2 linked regions of the Pelodiscus sinensis genome follow. The protein of the gene in region 2 purifies or fractionates together with the protein of the main gene of each other region. This does not show direct contact. Links are inferred from orthologs where the notes say so. Each region holds a gene or a part of one and is shown on either strand. Other genes may lie near its edges.

Region 1 (3,747 bases), on a different chromosome or scaffold from region 2:
TCTATACGCCGCTCCCCTGGTCTATACGCAGCACCCAGGCTGAGATACGCTGCTCCCGGGTCTATACGCCGCTCCTCTGGTGTATATGCAGCACCCCAGGCTGAGATACGCCGCTCCCTGGTCTATACGCTGCTCCCCCGGCCTACACATGGCTCCCCTGGTCTATACGCAGCACCCCAGCTGAGATACGCCGCTCCCCTGGTCTATACGCCGCTCCCCCGGCCTACACATGGCTCCCTAGTCTATACGCAGCACCCCAGGCTGAGATACGCCGCTCCCCGGGTCTATACGCCGCTCCTCTGGTGTATACGCAGCACCCCAGGCTGAGATACGCCGCTCCCCTGGTCTATACACTGCTCCCCTGGCCTACACGCAGCACCCAGGCTGAGATATGCCACTCCCCTGGTCTATACGCCGCTCCCCCGGCCTACACACGGCTCCCCTGGTCTATACGCAGCACACCAGGCTGAGATACGCCGCTCCCCTGGTCTATACGCAGCACCCCAGGCTGAGATACGCCGCTGCCCAGGTCTACACGCCGCTCTGCTGGTCTACACATGGCTCCTCTGGTCTATACGCAGCACTCAGGCTGAGATATGCCACTCCCCTGGTCTATACGCCGCTCCCCTGGTCTATACGCCGCTCCCCGGCCTACACGCGGCTCCTCTGGTCTATATGCAGCACCCAGGCTGATATACGCCACTCCCCTGGTCTACACGTTGCTCCCCGGGTCTATACGCCGCTCCCCATGTCTATATGCAACACCCAGCTGAGATACACCGCTCCCCGGGTCTATATGCCGCTCACTGGTCTATATGCAGCACCCAGGCTGAGATACACCGCTCTCCGGGTCTATACACCGCTCCACTGGTCTATATGCAGCACCCCAGGCTGATATACGCTGCTCCCCTGGTCTATACACTGCTCCCCCGGCCTACACACGACTCCCCTGGTCTATATGCAGCACCCAGGCTGAGATACGCCGCTCCCCTGGTCTATACGCCGCTCACTGGTCTATATGCAGCACCCAGGCTGAGATACGCCGCTCCCCGGGTCTATACGCCGCTCCACTGGTCTATATGCAGCACCCCAGGCTGATATACGCTGCTTCCCTGGTCTATACACCGCTCCACTGGTCTATATGCAGCACCCAGGCTGAGATACGCCGCTCCACGGGTCTATACGCCGCTCCACTGGTCTATATGCAACACCCCAGGCTGAGATACGTTGCTCCCCAGGTCTACATGCCGCTCTGCTGGTCTACACACGGATCTTCTGGTCTATATGCAGCACCCAGGCTGAGATACACCGCTCCCCGGGTCTATACGCCGCTCCACTGGTCTATATGCAGCACCCAGGCTGAGATACGCTGCTCCCCGGGTCTATACGCCACTCCCGGCCTACACACAGCTCCTCTGGTCTATGAGCAGCACCCAGGCTGATATACGCTGCTCCCCTGGTCTACATGCCGCTCCCTTGGTCCAGAAGAGGCTCCATGGGCTGTGATATGTAGCTCCCTGGTATACATGCAACTTCCCTGGCCTAGAGGCTGTTCCTCTGGTCTATATGTGGTTACCCAGGCCTAAAAGTGGCTCTCTTGGTCCATACACGGCTCCCCCATCCTATACATGGCTCCTTTGGTCTATACACAGCTCCTGGTCTATATGCATCTCTCTGGGGATATGCGTCCCCTGGTCTATACGCAGCTCTCTGGGCCTATATGCAGGCCCCCAGTACATACAAAGCTACCTGGGCCTATATGAAGCTTCACTCATCCATGTGCGGCTCTCCTAGTCTACACATGGCTCCTCGGGCTGCAGTAGACAGCTCCAGGAGCCCTGCTGAGTCCTGCCTGGCACCTGGCTCTCCTCTCTCTCTCCGTCCTTCCCAAGGCCCGGCGGCTTCTGCCAGCCTCTCTGTGTCTTCCATTCCATCCCTGCCACAGTGTGTCCAGCCTCCGCGGACACCTGGGCCAGTTCCGCCCTGCACCTGCCTCTTTCTGGCTCCCCAGCCTCTCTGTGTCTTCCATTCCATCCTGCCACAGTGTGTCCAGCCTCCGCGGACACCTGGGCCAGTTCCGCCCTGCACCTGCCTCTTTCTGGCTCCCCAGCCTCCCTCTCCACCGGCCCCGTCTCATTCCCCTCGCGGCTGGGGTGCTGCCCGCACGTACCATTGGGGCCGTATTTGTCCAGGTTCTTCTTCACTTGCTCAGGCGTCAGGCCGCTGTGCTCGCTCACGCCGAAGTAGGCCAGGCACTCCTCCACGGTCTTTGCGTGGGCGTTCTCCATGGCTGCCCCACCCGCGCTGTGCGCCCCGTCCCTCTGGCTCGGCCTCCCTGCTCAGTCGCTGTCTCAGCGCCTCCCGCCTCGTGCCCCTGGCTCTCAGCAGCGCATGGCCCTCCTGGCCGCCTGTATCCCACAGGGAGCCCGCCCGACCCGGCCCGCTACACACTGCCTCGGTGGGGCCGGGGCCGGCCCTGGTCCTTATGAGGGCGCCCGCAGGGCAGACTCCCGGGCCCCGTCCCTGTGCTCCCATTGGGCAGCTCCCCTGACATCACGGCAGGCGCCGGCACACATATGGCATTCTGCACAGGGAGGTATTTTTGCTGACTTGAGGCAGCCGGAGGAAGGCTGCGAGGTGACTTCGGAGAGCAGCTCAGGCGGCTGCACACCGAGGTGTCACTCAACGGCCACCAGCTCCTTGCAAGAAACATCCCCCGGCCTGCCCCTCGGCTCCGGGGGGGTTATTTCTGTCGCTTGGCCATAAGGGACACGGGCAGCGCGGTGCCCCTCGGACTCACGTTCACCCCGGGCCTCGCCCAGGACCCGTCCCCCCACATCCCCCACCAGCTGAGACCCGGCCCTAGCTAAACCCGCCGGCTGTCTGCCAGGATCCCCCACCCAGCGAGCCGGGCCCATGGCACCGGCCAGCCCCCCGGCTAGATCCACCCCCCAGCTGTCTGCCTGGATCCCCCACCCAGCGAGCCGGGCCCATGACACTGGCTAGCCCCCCAGCTAGATCCACCCCCCACGCCTGGATCCCCCACCCAGCGAGCCGGGCCCACGGCATCGGCCAGCCCCCCGGCTAGATCCACCCCCCAGCTGTCTGCCTGGATCCCCCACCCAGCGAGCCGGGCCCACGGCACCGGCCAGCCCCCCGGCTAGATCCACACCCCCCCCCAACTGCCTGGATCCCCCACCCAGCAAGCCGGGCCCACGGCACCAGCCAGCCCCCCGGCTAGATCCACACCCCCCCCAACTGCCTGGATCCCCCACCCAGCGAGCTGGGCCCATGGCACCGGCCAGCCCCCCGGCTAGATCCACCCCCCAGCTGTCTGCCTGGATCCCCCACCCAGCGAGCCGGGCCCACGGCACCGGCCAGCCCCCCAGCTAGATCCACACCCCCCCCCAACTGCCTGGATCCCCCACCCAGCGAGCCGGGCCCATGACACTGGCTAGCCCCCCAGCTAGATCCACCCCCCCCCCGCCTGGATCCCCCACCCAGCAAGCCGGGCCCACGGCACCAGCCAGACCCCCAGCTAGATCCACCCCCCAGCTGTCTGCCTGGATCCCCCCCCCAGTGAGCCAGGCCCATGGCACCGGCCAGCCCCCCAGCTAGATCCACACCCCCCCCCCAACTGCCTGGATCCCCCACCCAGCGAGCCGGGCCCACGGCACTGGCCAGCCCCCCAGCTAGATCCACCCCCCCCCTGCCTGGATCCCCCACCCAGCGAGCCGGGCCCACGGC
Region 2 (3,747 bases):
ATCCCTAGAGATCTATGAAACACTCATTCATTTTCTTGTATGCAGTATTTTAAAACTGTCTTTAAATATTAATAAGGAATCAGACAAATTAAAAAAGCAGATAGTTACAGCTAACAGTAAATTAAATTTAATCTGTTAAATCTGTTTAAAACTTTTTTAATGTATATCACCAATACTTCTGTTGGTACTCAACACTCATGGACTTCTACAACATGGTTTATTACCTGTGCAGGGTTTTTTAAGATTATATATAGATGATGAGCCACATTCTAATCTAATTTATATCTGAATAATTCCATTAAAGCCTGTGGATTGATTTATATCATACAAGAATCTCACCGGTTATAGCCATGGATATATTTTATAAAGAGTTTAATACAGGTTGAACCCCTCTAATCAGGCACCCTTGGGACCTGCCTGGTGCTGAACCAGAGAATTTGTCGAACCACTGTGTGTCAGTAGTGTCTAGCACCATTATCAGCACTTCCACTGTTTACTGGGCTCTTAGAATACATTTAGGGGTACATTTAGAGCAAGCTAAATAACAACACAGAACACTGAGAGCCAGGACTAGTGGCTGTAAACAAATGTTATGGGATCGTGGGAAACTTATCTACACCTATGATAAGTGGATATCCAGCTAACTAAAATCATGCCAGACTATGGACCAGCAAATGCTGGACTAGAGAGGTTCAACCTATATTGGGGATTTTTAAGTGCTATAACTTTGTGTGTGTGTGTGTGTGTGTGTATATTATGCACACAGTATAATAACTCTAACTTTTTGTTCATTTCTTAACTATAATTACTGTAACAAACTTAGTATTAACAAATCCTATCTTTGTATGGAAAGGACAGAATATTTAGTTTTAATGAAAATATTGACAAGAAAATAAAATGCTGTTACCTAAATGTCCAAAGACAAATGCCTCTTGCAGGCAAAATTAGATGTATTACTGCTCCTTTCCGGAAACAACTCCTATAACAGAATTTCATAGTCTTCAACTAGTTGTATGCTGCAAGGTTCACCTTAAGAACATCAAAGCATTCCAGGAATAGAGTTCAAACAGTGCCCTGTTCAAATTAGCACATGGATGATGTGTCCAGATACAAATATCTTGATAGATTCTTGATGAATGCTTTGCACACAGCTCTCAATGGAATTGCATGCTGTCATTCCCACGAGTGTTTGGAGAATGTATGTCTAAATACGAAATACTTAGTAAAACCTAGTAAAACTGTGGTATTTATGGATTTTATCCTAAAATGTAAACATGCATGTATGTGGTATATATTGATAGAAATACAGGGCCATGTTTTGGAACAGATACAGATTTGGAACAGAGATGGGAATTCATTAAGACTGTGTGTTTTGCAATCTCCTGATTTCTAAAAATTGATATGTCTCTCATTTATGAAAATACTTGTCCCGTGCCCAGAGCCATGCAGCCATGGATTCTTGGATTTCTCAACAAAATAAATAAACACAAAAATAGAGGGGGGAAAAGCTTAAGTGACAAATGTTCCTGTTTACCAGACATTTCCTTTATTTTACTCATTTCCTTTTTAAAATTAATTACATATATTTTTGTTCTTCATGTCCTTTATAAAAAGGTCTTATTTTAAACAGCTAAAACTGTGTCATGTGGGGTATTGGTTTGTATAGTGCCCAACACTTTTATCAATGATGGATGAGAAGAATATTTTATTTATAAACATTACCTTTGATATTTGTGAAGCTGAGCTGCATTTTCTTGCTACATATTAATCTTTTGAGACATGTATTTAAATTAGATTAATGGATTCAGAAGTTAAGATATCATAAGAAAGGTCAAGTTCGGCTTTTACTGGCCACCAGAAAAAAAGAAGAAGTTTAAAAAAATTACAGAAGTAATACATAGTATTTTTGGATTAAAATTCAAATGCTGTAAAATGATGAAGGCTCAGCGTTTTAATCTTTCCTTATAATCAGAATAGGGTCTCTCTATTTAGTGTTAATTAAAAAAATTCTTCTCTTAAAATATGTTAAGTAAGTGAACCAACTTGTCTGATTTAAGAATAGGCAGGTTAACTTTCTTTATGCTGGATTTCTAGTGGCAATGAAACTAGAAGTAGAAACCCTAAAATCAAAGGATAGTAATGTAAACTCTTGAATTAAAACTTACTTTTTGATGAGAAAAAGAAAAATTCCATCTGAGTTTTAAAACAAACCAACCAAAAAAACCAGCCAACCAAAACCAGAATGTAGAGGTGTAGGGGAAATAATTAAGACCTCTGCTGTGGTGATGTTGTTTGCTTAATCAATTCACCAAGGAAAAACTTAGTTTCATATTAAAAATAAGTTGATAATTTAAAAAAACAAAACTACCAACCTTTTTTATCCCCATTGCACTATTTTGGTTTGGAACAGTAATGCCAAAAGTGCTGCAATTTTTTTAAAAAGCAGCTTGGGTTTTATTTTAAATAAGCATTTATAGCATAGGCTGTTAAGTTTGCACAGAACAGTTTATTTTTTAACTTACAATATAATTGTAATAAGAAGCGATCCCTTACCTCTGCTGATGATTATTAGTGAATTATAGGATATTGCACTCTGAGCTGTGGGAAACTTGGTCTGGACTTCTCTGGCAACTTGTCTGTCTGTCACAAAGTTTGTAGTAACAATTGAAGAAGGCGGAGGAAAAAATAATAAAAGCTTGAGGCAGGGCTCATGATGTCATGCAGGAATTAAAAAGTTGTGATTGGTTATCAGATGGCCTTTTAATACAGGGAAGTTGCTCATCTAAACTCATGATGACAGTAATGGTAGCACTCAAAAAATGTTTGTTGGGGCTCTTTTTATTGGCCACATTTTTAAAGAAAGTGTACAGAAGGAAAACAGTCTGCATGGGCATGAACCGAAGGGCATGGGCAGTGATATGATCTAGTGTTTGCAAACATGGGGATGAGCTTGCATGTCAATATGTAGTATTTTTAGTAACTTTTATATAAATTTGTGATTAATTAAGAATACACTAGAAATTTCTTCAAAATGGTAAATTTGCTACAATGAAAAAATATTTTCCTATGATAAAAAAACGCCACTATTTGGATATTTTGCTTCCATATAAATTATATCCTTTTTTTTCCTTATGGGTCTTGAAAGTATCTTCAAAAGCTCTGAACCATTTTCATGTGTTAAAAGGGATTTACTAAGCTGTGAGAGAGCTTTTAATATTGTTATACACTTGATCACTATTCTCTCTGTGTTATGTTCTCTAAAACTTTCCTTCCCCACCACAGAGAAACTGATGCATCTTAAGGTCTCCACTTCTACAAATTAGATGTGGGGCAGGGTTTCGCCCAGATAAAGAGGGATGCTTTTAGCTTTCCAGATAGTCTTAAAATAGTTACTTCTTTTGCCCTTTACCTCAAACCAAATTATATTGTGGTCAGATATGATCGTTCTTTGTAATAAAGCACAGATAATATATTTGGTACATTAGTAAACAAAGGAAGATGTGTTTCCTGCTCTGTAAATTGTGCAGCTTAAATAGAGAACACAAACCAGATAGAAAGTCATTTGCTGAGAGAATGGTTTTGCCTTGCAGCTTTTTTAAAATATATAGTGTTTGCATTAAAATACTTTTCTGCACTGTTTTGATGAGTTACTCTTAGACTTTACCCCTAGTTAAACGAAGCCAGGTCCTGTAAAACTGTTGCAATAACTTTTAACACAACCAGAGCTGGACGTATTTATCCTAATAC

Evidence for each region. The genes of interacting proteins can lie anywhere in the genome.
Region 1: the proteins of PLN (region 2) and ATP2A1 purify together in Homo sapiens (affinity purification with western blotting, with the first as the bait; 3 studies listed by BioGRID). This does not show direct contact. The link is inferred for Pelodiscus sinensis from reciprocal best matches to the Homo sapiens genes PLN and ATP2A1.

Annotation. Positions count from the first base shown.
Region 1 is NW_027465819.1:226,339-230,085, forward strand, and holds the start of ATP2A1 (sarcoplasmic/endoplasmic reticulum calcium ATPase 1), read right to left. Parts: upstream 2,472-3,747; 5' UTR 2,289-2,471; coding exon 2,171-2,288; intron 1-2,170. UniProt on the Homo sapiens protein: Key regulator of striated muscle performance by acting as the major Ca(2+) ATPase responsible for the reuptake of cytosolic Ca(2+) into the sarcoplasmic reticulum.
Region 2 is NC_134713.1:84,694,161-84,697,907, reverse strand, and holds the start of PLN (phospholamban), read right to left. Parts: upstream 2,698-3,747; 5' UTR 2,554-2,697; intron 980-2,553; 5' UTR 908-979; intron 1-907. UniProt on the Homo sapiens protein: Reversibly inhibits the activity of ATP2A2/SERCA2 in cardiac sarcoplasmic reticulum by decreasing the apparent affinity of the ATPase for Ca(2+).